4 linked regions of the Schizosaccharomyces pombe genome follow. Changing the gene in region 4 together with the main gene of any one other region gives a genetic interaction. Each region holds a gene or a part of one and is shown on either strand. Other genes may lie near its edges.

Region 1 (8,293 bases), on a different chromosome or scaffold from region 4:
TCTGTCGAGAGTTTGCATGCTCATGAAATTCGATTTGGCTTCAAAGGTGAAATTATAACCCCCTCTCAAAGTCAAACAATCCCTGTTAATGAAGGACTTCATCATCATGGAGACGCACCATTTAGTGCCGGATACACTTTAGTTGAGCTGGCTCATCTTTTGCGTTCAAGTTTCCCAACCCAGAGATGCATTGCTATTCAGACTATTGGAAGGATTATTTACCGATTAAACTCTGGCGAATTCAGAGAGGTGCTCAGTCCAGAATTGCATACACTAGTCGAAGATGCACATATCTATGAATTACTTGCCGCCGCTGCCAGTGACCAAGTAAAGCACCTCACTGTACGCTCATTAGCAATTGAGGCACTTTGGTTATGTTCACAAAGTCAACACGGCTCATCGAGATCGGCTGTTTAAAGAAGCAAGCTTTTTTTTATAAGGAAACAGAAAATTATGAAGAATGTTTTATCATTTGTATCTGAATGTGACGATTCTATTTGTTTTGGTTTATGTGTATTACTAGTTTTTTTTTTTTTTTGTATCAAAAAAAGGATGGTTTTTTTTTTGGTCTTTACTTTTTTCGAAATTGTCGCATTGCTGAGAGATTTTACTTGGTAATCGAAAGTGGTGCTGCAATGAATATATTTTTTATACTAATGCTTTATAAGGACAGTTTTTATTTATCTACTTTTATCGTGTTTCCATTCGTTATTTAGTCGAAAATGAATTTTTAACACAAGAAATGACATTGAGACAGACAATTTAGATTAAAATAGCCCACCCTCATAACTAGTAAGATATCACTTTGTCTTTAAATTTTCATCAAGGCGCAGTAAAGAGATATAAAAAAAGTATATATCTCGAAAGATCATTTAACCTAGAAAGTCATAGAAGTAACACATTAATTGAAGTATTATGAAATCAAGGCATAAATAAATAGGATGTCTCGCAGGCGCATAATGGGAGTTCATTTCCGTTTAAACAATCTTTTCCAAAGAGGAGCTTTCTCTTCTTTTCTTCTTATTTGGGTAAGACTTTCGTAGTAAGAAGGTTTAAATTGTGGTTTCAATACTACTTGCTTGGGGATATACTACAATTTGGTTAAAAGGCGAACAAAGGTAAGGCGACCCTATCAAGGCACGTAATAAGAAGCATACCTTATTCCAATAGACATTATCAAGCAAATTATTCAAAGCGTTTAACTGCTTATTAGCCTGTTGAGGTGGCATCTTTTGAAGTCTGGCTCTAATAGATGTGTCAAGAGTCTTAGGAAACGACAACCAAGGTCGCAATTCATCCTTCGGCCAAAGAGCAACTGCCTTTGTTATTTTTTGGTTTAGAGACATTATTGAGGGTTAAAAACAAGAATAAAGCCTCAACTTTCAATTGCTTTGCAAGTAGAAAGATTCTTCGACATTCTCTGCTTTGGCCAGGCTATATCACCTTATTGCGCTAAACAATATTGAGCGGCAAATACAAATATTGTAAATAACTTAACAGAATAATTACATATTTTGTTAGGCTTATAAGGATGCAATCAGTACTACGGTGAGTTTTTTTAGTGAATCATCTATTATGTTATACAACGTATATCATTAAATGATCTTAAAAAGTACCGGTGCGATGGAGTTGATAGAACCTTTGAAAACGGTTTAAAATTGAAGTGAGCAAGGTAGAGTCAACTAAGCATATTTAAGCAGTATTTTAAAACTTTCAATCTATATAAGAAAGGATATCTTATTTGGAGTGGATTAGAAATATGAAATTATCTAAGAAATGTTGCTATGTAAGCGAACGGGTTTTTTGTGAAACGGTTCCTGATGGGGTAGTGTAATATAATACTGTACAACGAATCTAGTGCCGGTGAAGCCAGCATGGCATATTAATTATACGATTAGCTAGCTAAAAGCAGAGAACATGGTTTATACGGGCTCTAATTAAAGTGGTTCTGAATACAGTAAGACATAAATATAATTCTTTCAGTTCATATGCAACATATAGTCTCGTTGAGTAACGAAATTGTACTACCTGTCAACTGTTAACTTCCAGCTTTTCTACATACATCAATGGAGTAACACTAAGAATTATTCCATCATAGAACAAATAAGGCATCAGTATTATCATTTAGAATAACATAAACTTAAATTATCAAAGTAGTAGTCGAAACGAATCGTTCATCTCGAAATCTGTTATTCAAATACGTTCCTTTTTCAAGTATAAAATAATCATCTTATGATTAACGACAAAGCACAAGGAAACAATTGCTTGTAAACCAAAAGTATTTCATTCCGTTCATTAAACCTTAGCATCATAACGTCCAAATAGTCTTGTCTTCAACCAGTCAATCAACACCATGAATTGGGATCGAGCAGAAATCAACTCATTTAAATATGCAAGTCTCCAAAAGGTGTGGCCGACAATTCCCTGCAAAGGCAGCATCTTTTTCATAAATGGCAATTTTAAATCGGCAATGGCCTTTTCATCTCCAACGTAAGCTAAAGCTCCTTGATGATGGTATTTAAAGGGCTCTAACTTCAACTGCTCCACTTGCTGTTTCAATCCGGCAACCTGAGAAGGAGCCTCTTTCTCACCTAACTGTTTTTCAAGAGCTTGAATCCGTTCATGCAATGCAAACTTCTTTCCTTCGACGTTCAAGTTCTTAGCCAACCAAGCACCTTGTTGGTTAGCAACTTGAGCAGTAGCAGGTAATCCAGAGAATGCGCAATCACCAACGGCGTACATCTCAGGTACACCCTTGACCCTAAAAAACTCATCAACTATTAAACCTTTGCGCGCACCGCTTTGTTCAGGGATAGAAGACATCAATGTACGAGTGAGTGGACGAGCAGTAATGCCGGCAGCCCAAACGAGCATTCCGTAGGGTATCTCTTGCATAGCCTTGCTTCCGTCAGGGTTGGTCTTTTGAACGATAAGGTTCTTCTCATTAACATCTTTAACCACGGTTTTAGTCATGATCTTAATGTTAAGATTTTTGAATAAATTCTCCGTATACGTAATCAAAGATTTAGTAAACATGGGGAGAACACCGGGGGCAGCTTCAATTAACGTGACATGGATGTCTTTTTGAAGCTCGGGAAACATATCCTTAACGTCGTTATCAATGAAATCTTGCATCTCAGCTGCAAATTCCATTCCAGTAGGGCCACCACCAACAACAGTGATGTGTAAGAGACGAGCCCGTTCCTCGGGAGAAAGATCTTTATTGAATCGAACTTGTTCCAAGATTTCAAAGATGCGGTTAAACACCTTCTTGGCATCTCCCGCTTCTTTCAGAAAACAGCCATGGTCGCGGACACCCTGGATACCAAATGTTTGATTACCAGCTCCAATAGCAAAAACAAGCGTATCATACGGAATAACCGCTTCCTTTCCCTCGTTAGCTTCGGTCGTACCACGAATGGTAACTTTCTTAGCCGATGTGTCGATGGCAGTGCATTCAGCTTGGTGAATGTTGGAGGGATCAATTTTTCCTTTGAACAAAGCCACAATGGGCTCAGTAATACTTGGAAGTCTCAAAGTACCCACGGTACATGAAGGAAGCATAGGGGTGAATAAAAAATGGTCCCTAGGGCTCACGAGGGTAATGTTGTACAAGGACGGGTCCAAATTTTTGATTGCCGCGACTGCACCCCATCCAGAACCCAAAACAACTATGTTCTTTTTCGGAACACCAGATTTTCCTTTTGGCGAACTGTTGTTCAGTCTTCGTAAGGATTGGAAGAGGGCTACGGCACCCAACATGGACAAAGAAGAAGTAACTTCCGCCATTTCAAGTGCTCGAGAGAAAAATGATTTGTTACGGGGTGTAGGAACATTCCCACTGTTCTTTACAGCACAGGATACATGAAATGAACGAACCATCGTTTTTGAATATGGCACTGTACGAGACAGGCGAACCACAGACTGTAGTCTAGCTTTTGAGACCGACATTTTTTAAGAAAAAAGAAGTAAACAAATTTCCCCTTAAATAGGACTAAGTGATAAGTGGTAGGGAGGCGTGAGTAAAAAAATGTATGAGATAATGACAAATGTTAAAGAGCAAGCAAACTAAAGAGATAAACCCATTCAAAATTGAGCTATTTTACGATATTAATAGACAGTAATAGAAAGAGAGAACGACAACCTTGAGTCCTCTCCTAAATACACAGTGAATTACTATAACTAGCAGAAATAAGCCTTTAGAACTGCGAAAAAAAGGTATCCAATAATAGTTTTACTAGAAAAAATTGTAGTGTATTCTAAAATACCTTCTACTTTACAGAAAACGAGTTTTTCTGCTTATTTTTTTTTTAAGAAGAGATGGGGGAGTGTTGAATGTGGACGAAAGGGCTGCATAGCTGAACATTTTGTATGTAAACAATTAAGGTCTACGAAGCGCCCTAATTCCGTCATCACGGTTATTCATATCAACTTGATTGGACTCGGCAATCAAGTGTGCTGTGAGTGGGGAAAAATAACGCGGAATAAGGTTATCCATAAAAAGTATTACGTGGTAAGAAAAGAATTGCTAAATGTTAGCAACGCACTGTGTTATCACATTTAATGTTACATTGGTAGTGTATGTTATTTGTCCTAAAAAAAGTGATATGGGTGACAAATGCTATAAATTTTGTGGCATGAAGGGTGTAACTCATCGTTGAATCAGCTTATAACTGGACTGAGAACCGGGTCAATTGATCTCTATTCATAAATTGTAGCTAATAGTACCTTCAATCAAAAGTATTTAACTAAATTTATAACCGTCATATTTGGCGAACACATAAAAAAAAGGACATGTGAAAAAATATTAATACCTGCTGTAGTATAATATTACTACATTAGATTACTTTTTAGGAAAAGTTGTGCAACAGTAATTTTTTAGTGTATGGCAAATTCCCAGTTTATGAAGGCAATGCTTTGTCCTGGGTATGAATGCCTTTTATTCACTTTTCTACCTATTTTACCTTCAATGATTTCCTAAACTTAAAATTCAGTAGTATATAAGACAGCTAATGTGTGCGACCTTCCTATGTGTTTTCAAATCGTTTCTCTTAGTTAACAGCTTGATACGTTAGATAGACTCAATATGTATAGAGTAAGTGAGTGAGTGGCAAAATTAAAAAAAAAAGTCATGAGTGTATATACCCAAGGCCTTGTACTGAACGATTGTCTTATGACAGATCTTCTTTTATGATTTAACCCAAATGTATCAGCATACATTGAAGTATTGAAAGAACACATTAATTGCTAGTGAATTGAAAGAATGACAGTAAACCTTCTAATGTAGTAGGATTGTTTAGGTTCTGGTTTCTCAATTAGTAATAAACTAAAATAAATTAAAAATAACCCAATGTATATCGCCCAAGTAATATAAAATCTAAGTATAAAAATGAACAGCCAAAGATATTGTTCAAAGGTATAGTCGTTTAACAGGTACAATGGTAAATACGAAACGAAGGTCCTTGAGATGGACTTTTTACATGCACTTTATTGATTTTCTTATGCAACCACATCCATCTCAACATCCTCTTTGGGGTTCTTTTCATTTTCATGACCATCGCTCTCGTTGTACGTTTCAAAAAGCAATTCTTTCATTTTCTTAGAAACTTCCTCGGCATGCAATGGTGCTGTCTCCAGAACACGGAAAAAATCTTCTTCTGGAATGGGGCCAGCTGTTTCGAGAAAAATTAATTTGGCTGGTTCTGAGGAAATTGAATAACAAATAGTAATAATAGACTCCAATTTGTTAATTGTCCCATCGACATCAGGTTCATCTTGAGTTATTTTGTTCTTCCAGTGACAATTTATTGCACAGGGAATATATTTTAAAGAGATACCTGCGTCCAATAAAGCAAGTACCGCACCATTGATTACGGCAGCCAATGTATCTGTGCCATCTTCCTCTATTATCTGAATTGACACTTGTATAAGTGTTCTTGGATATGTGTTTAGAAATATTGCATCTTCTAGGATACCAACAATTCTGCTAGAAATCATCTTTTCCAAAGTCTCAGCGACACCACTCACAGGTTGAACCAAAACTTCAACGGTGGCCTTGTTAAGCCTTTCGTCCCTGATTTTTACATCAATAGGACCATTGACACCACAAATAACCCTAGCAGAACCTACAATGATGTTAGCATAAAGAAAATTCATTTTTTTTTAATTGGCATTTGCTTGGCTAATATACCGTGGATAATAGCATTACCTTGTTTCCATTCGCTCGAGCCATCAGACCTTGAGAGGATACCTATACGGTTCATTTCAGCTTCTATAATGCAACAAAGTTGCTTGCTTGCAGAGACAGAAGAAACGTTTCTACTTCCTTTGCACAAGTAGGAAATAAGCTAGCTTACACCTCGTTATTCGAAAACAGAATGAGAGCAGAAAAAAATGTATCAATAGTTTGGTGACAATGGGAGTTGTATTAATAAGGGTTTGTAATTAAATTCTTCCAATTTTTACTTTACTAAAGCTGAATGATAGGAGAAACTGGAATGATCTGTAACAGCCCAACCACTAAAAAATTAGAAATTACTCATAGCCATCTTTCAAAATATTTTTTTAAAAATAATACATCATGATATATAATCTCATTATAAAGGAATCACCTTTGTATTAAGGAGAATGAATCCAGGATTGTTTTTTCATTTCTGAAAGTCTACTCAAGCAACGCGTGAAGGTAAATACCTCTTCAATCCCACCAAATGCTCCATGATAGTGAGATTCAATTTTCCCCTTGGCAGCAGGATCAGCCGTAGAGGAAAGTACTTCAGAAGGTGCTGTCGGATATATTTCTTGAACTGGAACTTCAGATGATAAGATGAGTTTTCCATGGGTGTCATAAAGGGCATCAATAAATGTAATGAACCTATGGATAAGGTCTTTCGACTCGATACTCAATTTGGGAATGTCTGAAACGATGAAAACATGGTAACGGCTTGCCAATGAAAGATAGTCGGCAGCGCTTTTCGGTTCTCCACATAATTGTTCAAAGGTGAACCATGCAACGTTGCCACTTGCTTTTGGAACGATTATCTTTCTCCCAAATACTTCAACTTCGTCTTGGTGAGCAGGATCTTTCTCATCAGCGTAGCAAAGAAACCAATTTTCCAAGGCTTTCTTAACTTCTGGGCTATTAGCAGGATAAAGATATGTATCTTCTGTTTTAGATTTTAGGCGTCGGTAATCGTTTGGACTGTCCAAACAAATTACTTGAAGACGATGTTCCAAAAGTTTAATGCAAGGAATGAAGCTCTCTCTTTGTATTCCATTTTTATACAAATCAGAAGGAGCCCTATTAGAAGTAATAAAGATAACAACACCATACTTCATAAGGGCCTCAAAGAGTCTGCGTAGTAAAAGAGCGTCCGCGACATCGGTTACCTGTAATTCGTCAAAACATAGCACTGTTGTTTCTTTTGCTATTCCGGATGCAATATGATCTATAAAATCAATCTCAAACCCATAACGATCTTGCAAATCATGTGAAGTGCGATGAACTTGCATCATAAATGCATGGAAATGAATGCGCTGAGAACGAGTAACATTGGGTGGTAAGTTGTGATAAAATAGATCCATCAAAGCGGTTTTACCACAGCCCACATCACCATATAGATATATACCTTTAGGCATACCCGGTACAGGTAAAGAAGAAGTTAGAGTGGGAGACTTCTTCCTAGAAAACATTTTCTTTAAGGGGGATATCCAAGATAGGATTGATCCCTTTTCAGCTGGCATACTATCTTGCGTTATTGGAGGTTGTGTATACGATTCCAATTCGGTATACAAACGGTTGATTGCTTTAACCGCTGTTTCTTGATACGGGTCACGTTTCCATACGCCGTCATTAACTTTCTTGTTGTATACTTCAATAGGTGTATTATGAAATGTGGTAAAGCGAACTACCCTGCAAACTCCAATGCTTCCTATAGTATCAACAAAAGCAAAACAAGGAGCTGAAACACGAAGCACTTGCAGCATGATGATATGACCAAATTAAATACAAACTTTTGAACAAAAATAATGTTTCGTAAGCTAACTAAAGTAAAGAAAAAAAGTGGTTATTGATCAATTAGTGAATTCATTCAGGAATGATAAAGTGAGAGTGGATATAAAGCTGTAGAACGATTGTAGATGAAAAGCAAAAGATTAGAAAGAAAATATGTCAACTACAAGACGTACTTAGTGATTAAAGACATATGTTTTTAAGTGAATAAATATAAATCGTTGGACAGATGCATGATTATTCTTGCCTCTGAATAGCGTTCGGCAGTGCAGTTTGCTTTTATTA
Region 2 (6,928 bases), on a different chromosome or scaffold from region 4:
AAATAATTAAATTCAATAAATTAGCAAAATATGTTTATGAAGGTAACCAGTTTTTTCTTTTTATTTTTTTTTTGTCTATATGTCAGATTCGCAACTTTTAAGTTTGAACAAAACATTATTTCACATCGACTCAAAGGTTATGTGTATTTAAAACGTTCCAGTAAAAAAATATTCATTTGTAAAAAATAAATAGGTGGTATATTAAATAAGAATGAACTTACTACACAATTTCTGTGTAAAAAAGTGAGATTAAAATAACTGGATATTAATCCATTGATAAACAAATAATAAATAAAATAATCCCGGTAACCCCTTTAAAGGTGAATCAAGTAAACCATGGTTTTTGTCAAATCATTTTCTCTTGAGCCTCTTCAGCTACATTTCGATTGTAGGCAAGTGCTTCATTATGGGTGGGAAACATTATGTAACATGGAAAAGCAATTTTCTCCATAAAAGTGAAAAGATCACCAATGATCACCGACAGTCTGTAATCAAAGTTTCCAAATATAATATTCGACAGGTAATGCAACATTGGAGATGCACAGAATATAAAGATAAATGCATTTAGCATTCTTCTAAAAAATCTGGCTTTTGAAGCATTTTCGTAAGTTGTTACAGACGTGCATTGTTTCAATAAATGACAAATAGAATACACCCAAATTGCAGGAGATACCTCATACTGGATCATGTCAAAAATCTCTGATACTACATATACGTCTTTATATAAAGAAATCCAGTATACAGAACATAAAGCAATGACAATACTAATTCCTTTTATCATAAGATATTTAGGAACAGTTCTAGTTATGCCGAAACCCAATGCACAGTAAATCACAAATAATCGATAAAAATTTGTCCGAAGAAAATCAATTATTTCATACACCGAATAAAATTGTCTGTATTTTATACATTCGGAAGAAAAAACATACTCCTCAATGCATTCTTGTAGAGTCTGATTTAACGCAAAAAGAAAAATATAAAGGCAGATTACCTTTTGAGCAGGAAATATAATCTTGCTGAAATGTAAACAAGTCCATATCCAATAGCTCAAAAATAATAGTACTCCTCCCATTTCAGCTACAGAAATATAGTTCCAAATGCCAATTTCGTCATTATTAATTTGATCTTCTGAAACCGAATACCCCATAAGGTCTAAATTAAATTCAGCTCCATCCATTGTCATTGGTCTCGCAGCTACGCAGTAAGAACCCGTTTCATTAATCAAAATAGTTTTCCATATACTTGTAATATTTTCGCCCGTCCATACCGATTCCGAGTTACCAGAATATGCAAATGATCCCATCTCTCGGTTTTGGGAATTAAATTCCTCAAAAAAAGATTTTTGGATCACCGTGTCTCTTGATTTTACAAAGTCAATCATCTCCTCAACTTGATCATTCCAGCCAATTATATTTTGCCATTCATTTGCTTCAAAAAAAGACAAAGCAATTTCTCTTTTATCGAAGCTTTGTGCAAAAAAATTAGCATGTATTCTGGCACCGTTAGATTCCTCCACAATGAACCAACTGCACTTAAGAGTGAGCTTTTTGGCTTCTTTAGGCAGTCCATTATGGTTTGACAAGGTAGAGTTTTCCTTTTATGTAGTAATAGATACTGCTTTGGCGTCTACTTCACCTTTAACTAGAGTATGGAGAACTAGGTTGCATAACAGCAATGCTAGTGTTTTATGAAGACGCATCTTTAAAAAAGTTGGTAAATGATGCTTGCTCAAGGGAAAAGCAGATCAGGAATGATTAGCCTTTTATATCTTTCGTTTTGGAGTTACCGTGCTCCACGTTGCATAACGTTAGCGTTAAAACATTGGGAAGATTGGAGGGAAAAGAACACAAATAAATGGTTTGTTCACGCATCATACCTTTACTTCAAGATTTAAATTGTACAAGCACAAGTTACTGAATATAATAAAAAATCTGTTAAGTATGGAACGTGAAAGATAAAGTCATTCACCGTTGACTAGTTCTATTCCGTTAGTACTCGTACTTCATTCGATGATTGAGTTAATAACGCCGTTGGTAATATCCCGAGAATACAGAAGCTTTTTAAAAGAAAAATATAGCAAAAAAAAAAAAAACTGGTAATGACCAGTGGATAAAGAGATAGCATTCGTTTTTTTTTGAATTTAGCAATTATTAATTTAAAGCATAGATTGAAATTCAGCATGTACACTACCAATCTTTTTTTTTTTTTTTTAATTTCAATAGTTTGTTTTTACGATTGCGAGCAAGCGCCAGAACAGATTATAACGTAGAAAATTCAATTCGTCTAACTTATGTCCTGCAATATTTTCGCTTAGCAAGCATACACCACACCACCGTCCAACCATTATCGACCTAAAATAAATTCTGTCATTCAAGGTTGATCACTCCTTTTAGGCAAGATAGATAATAAGACGATTTGTTATAAAACTTTCTTTCTCAAATTTTTCTGGTCTGTCAACCATTTAAAAGTAGTCCAAAGATTTAGAATCTTTTACTGTTTATTCAAATAAAGCTGTTTAGTATTTTGTAATTTGAAAATTAGAACGATATCTATAATCACTAAGCGAATAATCACTAAACGAATTATATTTCAAACAAAGCCTTAAATTAACTCGAAGCATTTTCGTCATAAAAAATTGAAACCAAATTGTTTCTACTAACAGATAATGAATAAAACTCCTTTCCTGTAGTGAATATGACGCTGAATTTTGGGTTAAAGTAGATGAAATGGAGTTTTTGAAACACAAGTGGGAGTCCAAATTGGTTCAATTCGAAATTTTTTATTTAATATAATATATTTTAAGCTTTTAAAAAAAAAATATATAAAAAAGTCATTTTTAGTATTTGAATAATTATGAAACGAAAGATAAAAACATTAGTTACATTAAGTGATAATATCTTAATTAAAACCATAATTTGGTTTGGTTCCATAATTGAAATTCATAACGAACGCACCTTATGTGCATGATTTGGACAGGACAGTCAATTCGAACATTGTTAAGAATAGTTATATTCTATATGATCATGAAAACGATAAAGAAAATTATTTTTTCACAGGAGTAGGCATATTTTGTAGTTCTATTTGTTCAATATCAGAACCAACTGTTGTTTCTGAATGTAATGCTGTTTCTCCGTTATGTGTAGGAAGAGTGTTAGAAACACAGACGTCTCCTGGTGTCACAATTTTAAAGCCTAAAGACAATATTACAAGTTTGTAAAGAGCCCAATGACCAAAATACAAAAGGCCAGTTATAGTTGCACCCAGGGCTGCTATAATCATTCCCAAGACTGCTATAATCATACCCAAGACTGCTATAATCACACCGGTCACCCGTAAAGCAAGTACCGCAAACTCTGCAAAGACTATTTTAAATTATTAGCAAAAAAAAAGAAAAAAAGCATCACTATAAAGGAAACATACAAATTAAACTAAGTAACATTAAAACAAGCAAACAAACGTAAATAGCAATAGGCACCCAAATTTCACTGTAGAACCGATTTTCATTTATCCAAATTGAAAGAAACTTTTGGACTTCGAACTTTTTGTCTACTGCGAATACAATGATAATAGACCAAATAATAAGCAAGGGCCAACGAAAATTACTGCGGGTAGAAATCCTTCCATCAGGATAATAGCTATTGTGGAATTTAGAAAATTCAGTAAAAAGGTCATTTAAAAACTCTTTTATTTTATTTGTTTTAATATTCATCTTGTCTTTTTGAGGCTTAATGGTGTTGGTAAAGAGGGATTGTCGGGATTGTCGAGATCGTTGAGATTGTTTGTTTACCTTTTCAGGCTTACACAAATCAAGTCCCTGCTCTAGGTCCACATTACAAACATCTTCCACCATAAATAACTCATTGTAACCAGGAGGTTCAACCTGTTTTTTCAAGCTTTCTGGATTTGACATTGGAATAGAACGACAGCACTGTAATTTGATGACTTCTGATTCACTAGTATTTTTCCCCAAAGTAAAATTAAAAAGAGTGGTTTATGGAAAATAAAAAAGAAAATATACTAAAATATTTTAAGCCATAAACGAGAAAATTAAAAAAAAAAAACCAAAATGGTGAATGTTTTACGTTCTGAGGTGTCTCATTTATTTAGGAAAAGCATTATGATGTTGGCATCTCGTAATCCTTACAACTTTTTTCTTTTCACAATTTAACAGCTACGCAGTTTGGTATCTGTTTAACGATACGTTTAAGTACGATGTGTTTTCCTTGTGACCTAGTATATTACAGTACACAGTAATACAAGTAGCATCTGCTATTGATATTTTTATATATGAATTAAATTGTTACCTAATCACTAAAGTAGCTGTAGCTTATTGCTGAACCTCGTTCTTTATTTTTCAGTTTTTCTCAATTTATAGCATTTAAAAATTTTTCTAAATATCCTGCATAATTAGTAATATGTCTATCTCTATAACTCAGAGTGGAAAGTTAATAGAGCAAATATAGAACACTTGACGTATGGTGTTATTCAACGTAGTAGTATTTAGTAGTATTGTTGACCTACATACATTGTATAGGAGATTATGCTTAATCCAGGGGATCATACAAAGGATTATCCTATAACCCTTATTTTCGTTCCGCAGTAAGTAGGTGTTTGTATGCTCTGAGGCTTAGTAATATATAGCGATCAAGAGAACGTCAATATCATAGAAATTTGGAACTATCTTCATCCTCTTTTTAATATTTTACCGATGAGATTGCTATTATTAGTTACGTTGCTATCTATCGTTGGTTACACTAATCAGTTGCTTTCCAACTGACCTCGAAGACGCTCCAGCTGTAATCTGGGTAGCCCAATTTCCTCCAGATAACACTACACAGCACTATGAATTCAGATATATCGTAAATGAATTATATAATGCTAGCAAGATGACTGCATTAATGAACCATATATATATCGATAATCCGCTTATAAGCAATTCAACTAATAACGTTACTCACGAGTTATTGATTGATCTCCATGAACTTTATAATGACGGAGAGATTTCCAGGATAGTTCTACTCAGAACTTTGGTAACTCAATCTGCGGATGATGCTACATGGATAATCAACTTGACAGATGATGTGCTTAATGGATTACCACTGCTGAAGAAGCGAGACCGATACACCACACAATGTCATAGTACAAATATGGCAAGCACATATGACTGTGACACTGGAGCCAATGCTGTTGGAGCCCGAGGTGGAGCCACGTTAGCAGCCGACTATAGAGGTGATTGGGGGGGGTAATGTTATACAAACCTTTGGTAGTAAAAGCGTGTCTTACTGAGATCTAGCATGTGATGTTTTGGCTTATTATCGATGATTGTTCTCAATCAAGAGCAAACACCCACCCTGAAGTATCAGGCGTTATACCTGGTTCTGCTGGAATGCGTAGAGTATGTGTTAGTGATAGAGGATCTGGGTGTTAATATTGCATCCCATTGTCCATAATAAAGATCAACACTTGAAGTTTTAAAACAATTAAAAACAACCCAAGTTAATTGTGTAAAGTTTAAATTGGAAATGTAGCATAGAGGGTAATACCTACGATAAATGAAGAAAAATGAAAACTTATAAGGATTAAGAGAAGCATTAACTTCATTGTCTTAATAGTATAGCGTAACTGTTGCAAGATTGACAGCGATATGTAAAAGTAGTATTTAATACAGCAGTTAAAAAATGTTCAGTCCCTTTAATTCCGGTAAAGCATTCAGTCATCCTACTAAGGAAAGATTCACAGAATCGACATATTGATTGTTATTCCTTCCAACTGAAGCGGCAGCTGACTTTGTGTACTACTGGTGGACTGAATCTATCATGATTAACAATTTCTTTATAAAGTATTTGACATTCAGTCATAAAAATAACAAAAAAAATTGAAAGAAGCAAACCGTTACATACATTACATACATATTCGATAAACATGGTTATATGTCGCCATTTTTAAGCTTGAAAATGATTACATGTTTAACTATTGCTCTTTGAAACAATATATTTTGTCGGTTTTTTATTAGTAGCTAGTATATTTATGTTTAAATTTCAATAATATTTCTTCATTAATTTATTTCAAAAAACCTAAAAAAAAAAGCTATACATCTGTTTGCTCTTATATCATTTCATTATCTAAGTACAGCTTAAAAGTTTCCATTGGAAACTGAACACTATCGATATTATTTTTAGCTACCGCTTTTCTGTTCCTACATCATTGAAAGTTGACAAACATTCAAAACGATAATACTAAAGTAATAACACGCACACTATATTATCAGTAATGTTGTTTTATTAGTATCAGCTAACAATAGTAAACGTCAGCAATATTACTACACTACACTACACTACACCTTGATATACTCGTTGTGCATCACCATATGCCATACCTAAAATACCAAGATTTCTTCGCCAATAATTGCGGAAGGCTACATGTCTATTTCAAAAATACCCATTGAAAGCGACTATTAGAAAAGATCAGTAGAACTCAATATTTTATCATCACATATATTTACAATTTGATTATTTCGTATACTATACTCTCATATTATCTGTAGAATTGTAATGCTCTACTTCTACAACGTATTATATCACTGTGATTTATTGCTAGTACTACTCGTACCAACAACTTCCAACTCAGTACGATACTAGGAATCAAATACTGCAATTCAACCTTTCTTCATACTTCTCTATTGTTTTGAGATTAGAACTACATTTGTCACTTATGAATTATTCCAAAACAGTACGCAATACTACCGTATTGATTGATGCCTTTGACAATTAGGAATCTCATTGAAGTAAAATTTAGAGCACTTATTGATTGTGAACGACGTAACAATATTACTGGTCATGTTAGTTTTCGATCTTTTTCCGGATTGACATCTTTACCTGCTTGCAATTTACTTAACGGAATACCATACAATCACTTTGTCAAGCAGAAC
Region 3 (6,263 bases), on a different chromosome or scaffold from region 4:
TTGCAGGACATAAGTTAGACGAATTGAATTTTCTACGTTATAATCTGTTCTGGCGCTTGCTCGCAATCGTAAAAACAAACTATTGAAATTAAAAAAAAAAAAAAAAGATTGGTAGTGTACATGCTGAATTTCAATCTATGCTTTAAATTAATAATTGCTAAATTCAAAAAAAAACGAATGCTATCTCTTTATCCACTGGTCATTACCAGTTTTTTTTTTTTTTGCTATATTTTTCTTTTAAAAAGCTTCTGTATTCTCGGGATATTACCAACGGCGTTATTAACTCAATCATCGAATGAAGTACGAGTACTAACGGAATAGAACTAGTCAACGGTGAATGACTTTATCTTTCACGTTCCATACTTAACAGATTTTTTATTATATTCAGTAACTTGTGCTTGTACAATTTAAATCTTGAAGTAAAGGTATGATGCGTGAACAAACCATTTATTTGTGTTCTTTTCCCTCCAATCTTCCCAATGTTTTAACGCTAACGTTATGCAACGTGGAGCACGGTAACTCCAAAACGAAAGATATAAAAGGCTAATCATTCCTGATCTGCTTTTCCCTTGAGCAAGCATCATTTACCAACTTTTTTAAAGATGCGTCTTCATAAAACACTAGCATTGCTGTTATGCAACCTAGTTCTCCATACTCTAGTTAAAGGTGAAGTAGACGCCAAAGCAGTATCTATTACTACATAAAAGGAAAACTCTACCTTGTCAAACCATAATGGACTGCCTAAAGAAGCCAAAAAGCTCACTCTTAAGTGCAGTTGGTTCATTGTGGAGGAATCTAACGGTGCCAGAATACATGCTAATTTTTTTGCACAAAGCTTCGATAAAAGAGAAATTGCTTTGTCTTTTTTTGAAGCAAATGAATGGCAAAATATAATTGGCTGGAATGATCAAGTTGAGGAGATGATTGACTTTGTAAAATCAAGAGACACGGTGATCCAAAAATCTTTTTTTGAGGAATTTAATTCCCAAAACCGAGAGATGGGATCATTTGCATATTCTGGTAACTCGGAATCGGTATGGACGGGCGAAAATATTACAAGTATATGGAAAACTATTTTGATTAATGAAACGGGTTCTTACTGCGTAGCTGCGAGACCAATGACAATGGATGGAGCTGAATTTAATTTAGACCTTATGGGGTATTCGGTTTCAGAAGATCAAATTAATAATGACGAAATTGGCATTTGGAACTATATTTCTGTAGCTGAAATGGGAGGAGTACTATTATTTTTGAGCTATTGGATATGGACTTGTTTACATTTCAGCAAGATTATATTTCCTGCTCAAAAGGTAATCTGCCTTTATATTTTTCTTTTTGCGTTAAATCAGACTCTACAAGAATGCATTGAGGAGTATGTTTTTTCTTCCGAATGTATAAAATACAGACAATTTTATTCGGTGTATGAAATAATTGATTTTCTTCGGACAAATTTTTATCGATTATTTGTGATTTACTGTGCATTGGGTTTCGGCATAACTAGAACTGTTCCTAAATATCTTATGATAAAAGGAATTAGTATTGTCATTGCTTTATGTTCTGTATACTGGATTTCTTTATATAAAGACGTATATGTAGTATCAGAGATTTTTGACATGATCCAGTATGAGGTATCTCCTGCAATTTGGGTGTATTCTATTTGTCATTTATTGAAACAATGCACGTCTGTAACAACTTACGAAAATGCTTCAAAAGCCAGATTTTTTAGAAGAATGCTAAATGCATTTATCTTTATATTCTGTGCATCTCCAATGTTGCATTACCTGTCGAATATTATATTTGGAAACTTTGATTACAGACTGTCGGTGATCATTGGTGATCTTTTCACTTTTATGGAGAAAATTGCTTTTCCATGTTACATAATGTTTCCCACCCATAATGAAGCACTTGCCTACAATCGAAATGTAGCTGAAGAGGCTCAAGAGAAAATGATTTGACAAAAACCATGGTTTACTTGATTCACCTTTAAAGGGGTTACCGGGATTATTTTATTTATTATTTGTTTATCAATGGATTAATATCCAGTTATTTTAATCTCACTTTTTTACACAGAAATTGTGTAGTAAGTTCATTCTTATTTAATATACCACCTATTTATTTTTTACAAATGAATATTTTTTTACTGGAACGTTTTAAATACACATAACCTTTGAGTCGATGTGAAATAATGTTTTGTTCAAACTTAAAAGTTGCGAATCTGACATATAGACAAAAAAAAAATAAAAAGAAAAAACTGGTTACCTTCATAAACATATTTTGCTAATTTATTGAATTTAATTATTTTCAACTTGCTTTCCCATTTTCCCAACAATTTTTTTATCTATAATATATATTTTACAAAATTAATATAGTACATCGCATGGTTTTCTTTAAAACGACATAAACGTATAATAATAAACGGGGATTCAAAGTAATAAATCGAATCCAAATCAACTTTCAAATACATCCATTTCATCTACTTTACCCTTATATTCCCCTTCATATCCCCAACAAAAAACAGGAATTTGCGAAAGTAGTAAATGGTAAAAGTGAATAAATAGAATCAAGGTTAAAAGCTTACTTGTATGCATAAGAAGATAACTCCCTCCTCTTTACTTTTGCTTAAAAACAGATTCTGAGATTCGGGACTAGCATCGGTAATATAAGTTTTTCTTTCATACTGTTGAGTACTAGCATCAGAACCCTTAATGGTAGGAAGATCATCATCATGACTACGCCTTTGTTCAATCGAGTAAACATTTGCTGGTTCGTGCCAGTCACACTGAGAACAACAAAGTACCTATTATTAAAAATGTTAGCAAGCGATCGCTAACAAGTTGAAAAGTAAACACCTCCAACTATTCCATGGAAAGCATGTAACAATGAAGATCAATGAATGGCTATTAGCTTAACAAACTTGTAAACTCAAAACAGACTAACAACGTTTGTCAGGCACTAAGAGCAATAATGGAACAGACTTCATATCAAACGCTTTCTTGAATGTTCTTACCTTATTCGTATAAACCGGAAGAACAGGCACAATGAGAACCGTTACGGTTTTCAACTGACGACATACTCGGACTAAAAACAAAAGAAAGAGCCAATTGCTTTCGAAACTACTGAACTTGTTTATTTCTCGTACCAGTCTTCTTTGAACTAAAAAAAAAAAAAAGCATTAGCAAAATGTGTTGTCAAACGGATAAAAAGAGAACAGGAAGAAGATTGCTGGAAACAATTTTAAAACAGCGAATAAAAAAAAAAGAAAAAATAATAATAATAATAAACAAAATACGAGTCGCTAATTTTTGAAACTAATCGCTTCCAACAACTGTTTCATTATAACTTCACCATTTTAATATTGTCCCCAAACAGCATGATTTAATTCTCTTTCACTAATTTCATACCACACAGGACACGTAAGTAAAACATCCTTATAATCGTCAGTGGATATCCACATATCTCGTAAATGTAATGGCATTGTTAAAAAAAATAAACACTCAAGTGAATAGAATTATGAAGAATTCGAGTCTAGTTCAAAATATTTGTTTTGACAGAGTCCCTCTATTTATACCAAGACTAAGCCTCACAGTGAAATATTGTCTAGCAGTAAAATTGCTGATTTATTTATTATATTGTTGGTACATTTACTCGGAAGTACCATCGGTTTCATCTAAATTCCGATCCTTTACATTTGGATGCGTCGTAGTATATCATAACAAATTTTTTCCTCGTTTCATTAGAACTCACTCCATTAACTCCATTAGAACGTTTTCTAAATTTCAAGTCATTATACTTTTCTCTATTGAGAAAGTCACTAGGTCAGAAAGCAAGAATCATTCTTACTCGAAAACCGATATTAGTGATCTGCACCAGGGCTATAATAATCCACCATCAAGATTCATATCACGATAACAATTCCATAGTATCTTGCTATATACGTGTAATGAGTATTCGATACTGGCTTGATTGCTATTTCTCCTTTGCTTGTAATCGTAAAATTGACTTGAAGATCTAAACCTTCTAATGCAATCATTGGAATTCTGCCTAACCTGATCAAATATGGCTTGATCGCCGTTATGTTAAAAGCAGAAGCTATGCCAATCAGTATGATTGTAACTTACAAAAAAATATAGCACAACGACATACAACATTATGGTACAATAAAGAGGACTTGATATATCAAGAACGAGGTTCAGTTTGTGCTCCGTTTATATTATTGTATTTCTATATATGACATTACTTGATGCAATCGCTTAAATATGTACTTTTGTGTAGTTATACTCGCAAGTACAGTAGCATTTTTAAAGTAGCGGTGATGTTGACGAATGGTTTGTTTCAAATCCATCCATTTCAATTTCAATTGTAAATTTCTCTTTTTCAATTATTAATCAAGTAAGTTGAAGTGTATCAGCACAATAAATTCTGACTATTACTACTCTTAAAATAAAACTCAAGCGAAACTAATTTTTAATAGCAAGTCATATTCTTAGTTTGATATGCTATCCGCTTTGGTTTTGCATTGTTATGACTTTGTATAACCTAATAAGGTGACGAAAAATCAGTTCGTTTATATTTTTGATGAGAAGAATTCACTATTATTACACAGAAAAACATTTACTTCTTATTAGATACCTTCAATATAATATATTTTTTAAATGTAATAGCGACGACACTACCCATAATTTACAATACATTGTATGGTAAACAACTGAGTAGTTGATACACCCGATTTTCATTGAGTCATACACTTTGCGCTTACTATCACTTTATTTGGCTAAATGCATAATTTACAAGCCATTCCAATATTTCGCGCACTTTTCGGACATAGTAATAAAAGCCGAGGTAGTTTCGGCGACTTGCAACATGTTTTTTTATCGTCAGCTCGGAAATAGATTTCCTGACAGAGAAAGAAGGATATAAAAATAAACATGATGGGGCAATAAATAAATATTTCACCATTTTTTATATATCATTAAGAACAATGAAGAAATATATCTCTGAAGTAAAAAATAGTTGGGAAAATATGTATGAAGATCCCGCAACACCATTTGATAATGAGAAACCAGACGAATAGATCATGAATCTTGTACAACTGGGGAAATTACATGAGAATGTATTAGATGCCGGTTGTGAACCAAATAGAAATGCTAGATATTTAGCCAGTCTTGGATATAAAGTCGTGGGTATTGATATTTCCGAAAGGGCTATTTCTAAAGCAATCGATAAAACATCTAGTGAAAAAAGTAATGTCAACTTTAATCAACGCGATTTTTCAAGATTAAATGAATTCAAGGGGCATTTCGACACTGTGATTGACATTGGTTGTTTTCATTCAATTCTAAATAGTGATCATGAGCCATACACAGCTTCGTTAAGTCATATATGTCACTCTGATAGCTCCGTTTTCCTAAGAGCGTTTAGCGAAACAAACAAATCACGTTATAGACGGTGGCAGGGCCATAAAAGGTATTCCCTCGCTTTAAAAAGAAACAATGTCAAAAAGCTTTCTTTATAAACTATTGGAAGATTGAAGACATTAAAGAAGAAAAGTCCTGCTTCATCTTCCCCTAACTAGAAAAATAAATGTTTACACATGGTTTGCCAAAATGCGTTGTAAATAGTTCATGTACATAAAATATATAAAGATGAATGGACATATACATCAATTTTAAGAACCCATTAACAAAAAAAAATTCAGACACTCAATTAGCTAGCTAACAACTGTTCTTTACGAAGAGTTGAAAGAAACTTACAACCAATGGAAACCTTAGAAATATCAAGGCTATGATGCACTAGCGAAAATCCATTAAACTGACCAGAGCTTTTAACTTTGATAGATTGGCTATTCTTATTAGAAATCGATTGTTAACATTCATGAATTCAGCATTATATTAATGGTTAGAAAGTTATGGATCGAATATAAATGCCAAAGAAAGCAGGTGTGAGGTGGTCATTTGCTGAATCAGCAGGATGGATCCATGATGGATGGGATCGTGCAAGTCTAAAGAATTCTTCTGTAGTGAGTGTTCGTTGAGGCGATCTATAGGACAAAATAGCAGAATTGTATAAAAGAACTTGGAAAAAAGTCTATTAAAATAAATTGAGTATACTTTCCATGCCTGTAATTTATAACTTGCTATCGTGCTTACTTAGAATGCTCCGCGGTGAAGCGTGCACCGCGGAAAACTTATTGCATGTATTTTCCGCGTAACTGAGATTATATACATAAGTTAAGTATTTTGTGCATTAATTTTATATTTTAACCG
Region 4 (9,860 bases):
GACAAACAGAATTATTCATTATGACGACCCCAAGTTACGAAAAAAAAGAGGTTTAAATTTGAAATGGTTAAATTCCTACTAGCTGGTATAATCCTCCTAATAAATTGTATGATAACCGTTTAGAGTACATTTAATATTTAACTGAGTCATTATTCACATAACCAGTTGAGTAGTTGATAAAATCCTTGGAGGTCTGATTTATAACGAGCTGCTCTTGCTCATCAATATTTATGTTTTAATTAAGCAAAATCTGCTGGACATTTCGTATCTACTTTAGCGAGCGAATCGGTGTTTTCGTTCACGATCTGGAACAACGCGATGACTAAAGCAATCTCAGCTGTTTAAATTTGACTAGTATATAAATCTCTCCTTCGCATATATTTCGATAACCTTCGTTTGTTTGGCGTTACTTTTGACCCACTTTTATTTATTCTTTCCTTTTCAATACTAACTGCACATGGATTTACTTTCCTTAATTACGGGAAAGAAATTTGAAAAGCACTATTCGAAAGTGGGTTCACGTTTTTCAGATGAATCATTGAATGGTTTAGAAAAACAGCTGTCTAACGGTGCTGATGCTGCTATTGATACTACTGCTGATGATCGAGGATCAGTGGTTTCATTAGGAGCATCATTGCCACTTAGTCAGGGACGCCCTGCAAAAAGCAAAAATATTTTAAATGATACCCTTTTAGCAGAGGACCAATATCTTGTAACGTGGGATGGTCCAGACGATCCCTTAAATCCAAGGAACTGGAGCCATAGTTATAAATGGTGGATTGTCATTCAGGTTTCTGTTATTACCATTGTTGTTACTTTCGCCTCTAGTGTGTATTCTAGCGGCATTATTGATATCGCCAGTGAACTTCATAGCTCTATTCCAGTTTCTACGTTAGGTTCTTGTACTTTTTTAGTAGGGTTTGGTGTTGGGTCTTTGCCATTTGCACCTTTAAGTGATATTTATGGCCGATTCATCATATACTTTGTTACCCTACTGATATTTACTATATTTCAAGTAGGTGGAGGTTGTGCACATAATGTTTGGACGTTGGCTATTGTAAGATTTTTCCAGGGTGTTTTTGGAAGTACTCCCTTGGCAAATGCTGGCGGAACCATCAGTGATTTGTTTACACCTGTCCAGCGTACCTATGTCCTTCCTGGGTTTTGTACTTTTCCGTACCTTGGTCCAATTATTGGACCTATAATCGGTGATTTCATTACACAAAGCTATCTGGAATGGCGATGGACATTTTGGATTAATATGATTTGGGCAGCTGCTGTAATCGTGTTTGTTTTCATTTTTTTCCCCGAAACTCACGAAGATACGATTTTGGATTATAAGGCCAAATATCTTCGCAAAACAACGGGAAACACTGCTTACTATACCATCCATGAGCGGGAACGAGATCCGAAAAATGCAATGATTCAGGCAGCTACTCAAGCTGTTTCTCTTATTTTTACAGAGCCCATTGTTGTGTGCTTTACTTTGTATTTGACTGTGGTGTACATCATTAACTACATTAATTTTGAAGGATATCCTATAGTATTTGCAAAATACGGCTTCAACAAAGGTGAGCAAGGGCTGTCGTTTATTGGTGTTGGCGTTGGAATCGTATGTGCAGGTCTGTGCACTCCATTTATTTATTGGCATTATTTAAAGGTCAACAAAAAGAGAAACGGAGTTATATGTCCAGAGGATCGTTTGTATCCGCTGTTTATTGGTTGCTTCTTGTTGCCTATATCAATGTTTTGGTTTGCATGGACATGTTATCCACATCACATTCACTGGATTGTACCAATAATAGCAAGCGCTTTCTTTGGGTTTTCCTTATTAATAGTTTTTTTCGTTTCATACAATTACATTATTGATTCGTATCAACATATGGCACCGAGCGCTTTAGCTGCAGCTACTCTAGTTCGCTATTCTGCCAGTGGAGGCATAAGTATGGTGGCCAGGCCTATGTACCTTAATTTAGGAGATCACTGGGCTACTAGTGTGCTTGGTTTTATTTCTGTAGCGATGGTTCCCATTCCTTTTATATTTTATCGTTTTGGCAAGAGCATTCGTGCGTGGAGCAAAAACGCTTACAAATTGTAAGAACAAGTGTGATTATTTGTTGTTGTTGTGTTTATTTAATGTTGATTATAATTGTCATATCATGCATATATCTATATAGTAAGAGAGTGATTGCAAGCAAAGATGAATTTTGGTGCTTATTCTATTTAAAGAACGAATGGATGTTTATAAACTAATTTAGAAAGTTTTAATAAAAACGTAAAGATTTAAAGTTATTTCGTGTTGCATTCTAAAAGTCACAGCAATCTAAATATAAACTTTTGAAAAGCAAAATTAACCGAGAATGATATATGCGTACGCCAAACAACTGGATTCATACTTATACACAGTTATTTGGGAAATTACAAATCGTTTTTTCTGTAATGTTTGTTCAAATCATTATTGACTAATAAATTCACCAAGCTATTTTCTGCTATATATTTTACCACCATCGGTAAGTGTTATAATTATTAACAGTCAATGAGTATGCAAGGTAAAATTACAAAATATTTTTTGTACTCTTTATTCGCTTTCATGCTCAAATTTTTGTACTAATTTCAACAAATTAAGAATAACGTGCGAGTCAATAGCTTCTTAGTCTGCAACCGATTTGTTACCTACTATTTTTAACCAGCGGAGTGAGACGGTAATAATATTTTCACCGGCAAAATATGCTAACTGCTATCATTTAAGTTAGCAAAAACTCGGCGAGAATTCCCAATGTCTGTTGGCTAAGCGAAAAATATTTTGCGTGGGTATTTCTAAATTTCCGTATCTCCACGGATATACTAATGTTTAGCCATGACATCTGAAGTTTTATGCCCTAAATGTGCGGCTTCTAAGCGTTCTCTGATATAAATTTATGGTTCCATCCGTTCAATCAATATGATAAAAGCTTAGTAAACTTTTATTAAAGGAAAATTTGAACCTTCGGTGAACAGACATTAAGAAGTACTCTTTATTTATATTAAAAAATACACCGTATATCCAAATTTTCTCTGAGAAAGCACTATTATGGGTAGACCACTTACAGAGGTGAAATACCTTTTGATAAATTCAGCTCCGGTAATCCTTGGATATGCCTTGCAAAACTCTTTGCAAACTAGTTCAGTTATTGTAACCGGGCGCCTTGGACCAAGCGAGCTTTCCGTAGCTGCTTTTGCGTACATGTTTGCGATGAGCACAGGCTGGCTGATTGCTCTAGGTGGAACTACTGCTTTTGACACACTTGGCTCCAACCTTTGGGGAGCCGGAAAAAAACAAGAATTGGGAATTCTATTGCAAACGGGTTTCATCGTGCTCAGTATTCTATATCTGCCAATATGTTTAGTTTGGTGGTATTCTAAACCCATCCTAATTTTCTTGCATCAAACACCTGAATTAGCTGAAGCTTCACAAAAGTTTTTACGATACCTTATCCCAGGCGGACTAGGTTATGTATGTTTTGAATTGCTAAAAAAGTTTTTGCAAACACAAGAAATCACTAGGGCTGGTTCTTATATTCTTCTAGTTACCTCTCCTCTTAATGTCGCCTTAAATTTTCTACTTGTCCATTATTATGGATTAGGTTTAAAAGGCGCTCCATTGGCAACTGGATTATCGTACTGGCTTTCATTCATTTTATTAACTCAATATGCGAAATACGTAAAAGGGGCAGAGGCGTGGAATGGTTGGAATAAACGATGCTTAGAGAACTTTGGACCTTTTGTAAAGTTATCACTATTGGGTATCGTTATGGTGGGAACAGAATGGTGGGCTTTTGAAATAGTAGCACTAGTTGCTGGTAAACTTGGTGCTGTACCACTTGCCGCTCAATCAGTAATTATGACCACAGATCAATTACTTAACACAATTCCTTTCGGTCTCGGAATAATTACTTCTAATCGAGTTGCCTACTATCTCGGAGCTGGGTTACCTGACAATGCTTCTCTAACTGCTAAGGTCGCAGCAATTGTAGGTGTTGCAGTAGGAAGCGTTATCATGATTACCATGATTGCCGTACGCAATATCTATGGACGGATTTTCACAAATGATCCAGATGTCATTCAGCTGGTTGCTCTTGTAATGCCCTTAGTAGCTGCTTTCCAAATATCAGATTCCTTGAATGGTACAATGGGAGGAGCTTTAAGAGGCACGGGAAGACAGAAGGTTGGCGCTATAGTTAACATTACTGCCTACTATTTGTTTGCTCTGCCTCTAGGAATTTATTTAGCCTTCCATGGCAAAGGTCTTGTCGGTCTTTGGATTGGACAGGTAATAGCGTTATCCATAGTCGGAATTTTAGAACTGAAAATTGTAATGGCAACTGACTGGATTTCCCAATCAAGAAAGGCAATCTCAAGATTTGGTGACTCCTCTGAATTGACTGCACTACTCAATTAGACATTTGGGTCGATGCATGTAGTTGATCAAGCAAAATAGTTTGATAATAGCTTCATTGTTAACCGGTAATGATGTTCACCATGTACATTAAAGCAAATAAATTATTAATAAAACAACGTTACTTTCATATTTTTTTAAAGATTCCTCATAACATTGGTTACTCTGTCAAAATCCCAACTGTTTAAGTCGTTAAGTTCAAAACCTTCAACGATATCTTTAAAAGTAGAATCCGTAACATCATTATTTTTGGCACTGCAAACTTCTTTAGCAACCCGCAAAAGTTTGTCTGCAATTTTGACAAGTTCCAAAGCCACGTCACTAACTGGCTCCATTTCCATAAAAAAATCGTAAATTACATGTAAAAGATCCAAATCGTTAAGTAATGTTTCTGAGTCCGTTTCCGTATCAGTTTCGTGAACAAGGTTATTAAATATTATTAAAAAAGGTGTAAAAGGACAGTATAGGAATATCCATAGCGGATCTGCTTTAACATTGACCCTGAGATCAATGTTGAGTCTATTTTTTAACAATTGAACTGCTTCACGGGCTGCATTAATACAAATCCTTCGATTCTCTGTCGACGAGCTAGGTCTGTGTAATATAATTAAAGTGTTTAAGTAAGAAAAGTAAACTTCCATACCTGCGAAAGTTAAAAATTCGAACCGATCGCTAAGCGATATAGTGGGAGAAAAAGTGTTGTTTAGCAACATTTCATGATACATTTTTATTTCAGAAGGAAGGTTTTCTTCCCACGCTTTCAATTTTTGATGTATTGGTATGATGATTTTTTCTCTCGCTGCCATTTGCGTAGGTGACTTCACGCTGTATAGTCGATTTCGTATTTCACTCTGAATTATTGTCAACGATACGGTAGGAACAAATATCAAATCACCACCAGATTGTACACCAAACAAAAGCTCATATTTGCTATCAGGCAAATTACAATCAATATCCTTGTCGTTAAAAACGGAAGGGGTTCCAAAAATCAAAGAAATATTTTTATCGAGAATATAACACATCCAAAATATCCTTTTCCACGATTCAGCCTTTTCAGGCTCCACATCAGTGGATTGCTTTCTATGTAAGTTTAATTGTTGGGCCATGAGGCAGGCTTGGCCGCACAAAGTCCGACATAAAGAAGAGCTAGACAGGTAAGCTGCGTACTGTGTCATGACAATTAAAGCCTGAACTTTGTCAATGCTCGGAGTAAGAAAAAAGTCGGACTTTTGAACAAAAACCCAAGCTGTTGAAAACAAAGACTCTGCAAGCGTCTTTGAGTTACCAAGTCTTTTCCTAATGCTGCTTAATGCTAAAATAGAATAAAAAGAAATTAGCCAAGCATTATTGCTATGGAACCCGAACGCATAAAGACGTTCGAACTCATACATAAAATCATTATATACGAAGGTAGGCCACCACCAATTTACATGCTGAAAGTAAGACGTGACTAACTCATGGGCTACTTCCTTCTTGGGAATGTCATGGAATGCCTTCTCCCAGTCCGGCAACTGTGGAGGGAACAAGCTTTCCACATTCAGTATCCGAGTAGGTGTATTGTCGACAGGGCTACCTTGTCTGTGTTTAATAACAATCGATTCTGCATCTTTAATTTGTGTAACCAAGGAAGGTAATTCAATAGCCTTATTTTCACGTTTAAATTCTGAAGTTTCAGTAGCTATATCTAACAACAAATCGATTTTTTCTTCAAGCAATTTAAGGCGTCTCTGAACGGATTCTTCACCATCCTCGGGTTTTTCAATGTTTTTACTAATAGTTCCATTAGTAGTTAATGCAAAATTTTCTTGATTTGGAATTGAGTGATCACTCGGTTCTGGCTCATTGCCGTTAATACCAGCGGCATAATCAAACACGGGTAACGTAATTCCCCCAAACGTCTCCTTGCTTCTTTGAACAAGTCTCTTACGGCGAGCACGATTAGAATAATGACAGTCCGCTTGAAAAAGAGTACAAGTCTGACATCTTGGTTGCCCTCGACTACATTTAATCTTCTTCAACCTGCAAAGATCACATGCTTTATTTTGAGACATCTTATGTTAAGAAAAGAGTAATTAAACAACTATCTTAAATTCTAGCTGAATGCGTATCAATTGTAAGCAAGCATTACCGCCTTTGGTGCAGTTTACTGTTAAAAAGCATATACATCTGCAGATTTATTTTAGCACTACTCAAGTCGTGCTTAAGTATAGGTTATAAGGGAAGTGATGATAAGAAAATCTGGACAAGACGATAAGTATACGTACTCGAAAGATAAAAAAAATTTTATATAATCTTATATTACTGATAATGATAACAGAGCCACTAATTCATTAAAAGACATTAAAACAATATTAAGCTATTTAACTAAGACTAGGAACAAAAGAATAAAAAAGAACTGTTAATAAACATACAATTATAAAAGCACAGTAAAAATACAATGAAACAGCGTAGCTGTTGCCAAAAAGAAGAGTTAAGAAAAGTATAACACTCAGGTTAAATTACTCTGTGATTTGCTTCTGGTCAAAATCTTTTGGCAAAGGTAAACTGCTTAAAGATAGTTCATTTAGTGGAACACCAGATATGTACTCGTTCTCCTGTTGAACAGTAGGTATTGGACCTGTAAAAAAAGTTTTACCACCAATCTTTGGCAAATAATAATACACCACGCAAAAGACCATTACAAATCCAAGGACCACTATAGCCCAATTCATCTCATCTTGGTTGGGCTTTTGATATTGAGGAAACAAAAGCATAAGAATCATAAACCACATCCAAACTAATGACCATAAGGCTGCTGGTTTGCTCCATTTTCCAACGTAGAAAACACCAGGTTGAAATTTATTGTACACAAATCGACACATAAGAGGGCCGGAATAAGCGATATAAAGAGCAATAATTGCTAAATTAAACACAGAAGAAATGGCAGTGACATTAACCAAAATTAGTAGACCGACTAAAAGGCTATAGAGTAGCACTAAAAGAATTGCATTTAAGGGAACTTTCTGTTTAGTCAAAAGACGTAAGTATCTACTTCCTGGAATCCCGCCGTCTCTGCAGAAAGCAAATACTTCTCTAGATGCAGCAATCAGTAACGAAATGCAGTTCAAACAAAGGGCAATGACCAGCAAAGAGAAAATTCCTAAAGCTCCCTTATTTCCAACATTGTTAACCAGTACTTGAGCTACAGGCTGGCCTAAAGAGGAACCTAGAATGGCATTAAAATCGTGACCCATAGTAGCTACAACGGTGATAACGATGCACCATCCAAGAATGGTAGCCACACCAAGACTGGAAATCATAGCAAAGGGAGCTGCTTTGGCAGCATTCGTTGATTCTTCAGCAACAGCGGCGCTAGATTCGAATCCGCTTACAACCCACACAGGAGTAGTGAATGAAAGTATAAATGCCCATCCCATGTTTGACCATCCAGAATAATTTGTAAAATCACCGAATATAAAACTTCCAGAATTTCTAGTAGTAGAGTCAGATCCTGCGGCAAGGGCAATAATAAGAATAATGGATACAAGGAATTGGAAGGTAATATTAATGATGTTCACCTTCGCGATAACACGAGAGGGAATTGCAGTCATGGCAGAAATCACGAAAAGCAACGCTGCGTAAATTCCGTACTGTTCATATTTTGTAGGTGAATAAGAAGGACTACCTATCACAGCTAGTGCCTGTACCATAGATGATGCAGAGTACACTGTTGAAGCATAAATCGTAGCGTAGCCAAGCACTGACACGTAACCACAAACCCAGCAGAGAAATGCTCTTGACGATGGTGATGCTAGGGTAAAAATCCAAAAATAAAGACCTCCAGAAGTAGGCATAGAAGACGCCAGTTCGCCCAATGATATACTTACTGGAATCAGACATATACATCCAATAATCCATGACCAAACCATGCCTCCTCCTCCACAGTTCATCGAGAAAATGAGTGAACCCGCCATAGCCGGACAAAGACCCATTGATCCAAACGATTGACCAAAAATGCTAACGTAAGAGAATTCTCTAGTGAATTCTGGTTTGTAACCAAGGCTCATCAGAAGCTCATCATCTTGATTAGCTTCTCTGCTTTCGCCCAACTCAACTTCATTTTCCCATTGCTTCTGATTTTGTTTTAAGCTTTCTTTGTCGATGTCACTCATTGTAAATGCTGAATGTGAGTCGTCCTTACAAGCAGAAAACTCTCAAAGCAAATTGGTCTTAGCAAAATTAGCAGCTCGTAAATATTTTATACCAAATATTTTGAATAAGACTAAAGATCTATATGTCAACTCCTCCAAGCCGAAATAGCCACACAAAGCTTGTTTGTCAAAAATTTTATGATCACCGAAAGGGTATATGCTTGCAGAGGCTTTTGTGACTAAATATGTCTTTATTCAAAAGCAAAAATGAATTTAACCATTTTATAAGACTTTAAAAGTTAATCATAAAAGCCCGAATTTCCTCGCCTTCCGTAATTTATTTTCCTTGGAGCGTACAATCATGCCTTTATTTCCAAGGAAATTCTGATAGGCAATAATATCTTAGATCTAACTTAAAGATCCATCCTAATCTCTCGTTATACTAGTTTGTTCCGGTGGATGCTCAACTCAAATGACGAAATCAATCGTTTTTACAGGAATGCTTATTTATATTAACGAAATGTGAATCCCCACGGCAGATTCAAAAATTTCCTTGGAGATATTTGAAGAAGTTTGTATATCTGAAATGTAGTATAAATACCTTATTCATTTCACCTGAAAATGCAATAAACTTCAACAGTACAAACAATTATTCAAATGGCTCTTCAAAGCCTTTTTTTGATTCTTCTCGCGGGTGCTGCTCAATTGGCTCAAGCGCACCCAAAGATCTTTGAGCAATCTCGTGCAAATGCAGTTGAAACCTTTGACGATGCTTTTCCAGGAGATGGTGAAACACAAGCTGATTCCGTTTTTTCGGGAATCGCAACTTTTGGTCGTCTTCCTTATTGGAAATGTCTAAACGACAAAAGTCAATCTTTCGACATTGCCTTCCTTGGAGCACCATTCGACACTGGTACTAGTTACCGTCCTGGTGCTAGATTTGGTCCAAGCGGTATCCGTGAAGGATCTCGTCGTCTCAATCTTTATGGTGGTTACAACGTTCCAATGGAGACCAACCCTTTCAACAATTGGGCTAAAATTGTGGACTGTGGTGATATTCCTTTGACGAGTTATGACAATGCAGTTGCTATTAAACAAATCGAGAATGGCCATTTCGAATTATTAACTCGCAAGCCTACATCTTATTCTGAGAAAGATGGTTATGCATTAGATGGAAGCGTTTTGCCTAGAGTTATCACCCTCGGTGGTGACCACACAATTGTCCTTCCAATTCTTCGATCGGTCTCTCGTGCATATGGACCTGTCTCTATCATTCATTTCGATAGTCATTTGGA

Evidence for each region.
Region 1: mutations in toe4 (region 4) and ndi1 together harm fitness more than expected from each alone (negative genetic interaction), as found in Schizosaccharomyces pombe (one large-scale study listed by BioGRID).
Region 2: mutations in toe4 (region 4) and SPOM_SPBC1348.01 together harm fitness more than expected from each alone (negative genetic interaction), as found in Schizosaccharomyces pombe (one large-scale study listed by BioGRID).
Region 3: mutations in toe4 (region 4) and SPOM_SPBPB2B2.18 together harm fitness more than expected from each alone (negative genetic interaction), as found in Schizosaccharomyces pombe (one large-scale study listed by BioGRID).

The regions. Positions count from the first base shown.
Region 1 is NC_003423.3:637,344-645,636, reverse strand, and holds ndi1 (NADH dehydrogenase), read right to left. Parts: upstream 4,344-8,293; 5' UTR 3,952-4,343; coding exon 2,296-3,951; 3' UTR 1,731-2,295; downstream 1-1,730. Other genes in the region: rba50 (RNA polymerase II-associated protein), read left to right, coding at 1-417; respiratory chain complex assembly protein Cbp6, read right to left, coding at 968-1,090, 1,158-1,346; exosome subunit Rrp46, read right to left, coding at 5,500-6,125, 6,209-6,263; AFG1 family ATPase, read right to left, coding at 6,619-7,983.
Region 2 is NC_003423.3:2,433-9,360, reverse strand, and holds SPOM_SPBC1348.01 (uncharacterized protein), read right to left. Parts: upstream 3,911-6,928; coding exon 3,421-3,910; intron 3,363-3,420; coding exon 3,043-3,362; 3' UTR 2,532-3,042; downstream 1-2,531. Other genes in the region: ftm5 (transmembrane helix domain-containing protein), read right to left, coding at 347-1,381.
Region 3 is NC_003423.3:4,499,602-4,505,864, reverse strand, and holds SPOM_SPBPB2B2.18 (uncharacterized protein), read right to left. Parts: upstream 3,174-6,263; coding exon 3,140-3,173; intron 3,079-3,139; coding exon 3,008-3,078; intron 2,798-3,007; coding exon 2,579-2,797; intron 2,339-2,578; coding exon 2,201-2,338; downstream 1-2,200. Other genes in the region: SPOM_SPBPB2B2.19C (transmembrane helix domain-containing protein), read left to right, coding at 921-1,955; ftm7 (transmembrane helix domain-containing protein), read left to right, coding at 3,469-3,909.
Region 4 is NC_003424.3:113,623-123,482, forward strand, and holds toe4 (transcription factor), read right to left. Parts: upstream 6,612-9,860; 5' UTR 6,487-6,611; coding exon 4,573-6,486; 3' UTR 4,439-4,572; coding exon of another isoform or gene 3,071-4,438; 3' UTR 2,432-3,070; downstream 1-2,431. Other genes in the region: mfs2 (MFS family membrane transporter), read left to right, coding at 458-2,098; SPOM_SPAC11D3.06 (MatE family transporter), read left to right, coding at 3,071-4,438; SPOM_SPAC11D3.08C (amino-acid permease), read right to left, coding at 6,934-8,586; SPOM_SPAC11D3.09 (agmatinase), read left to right, coding at 9,223-9,860.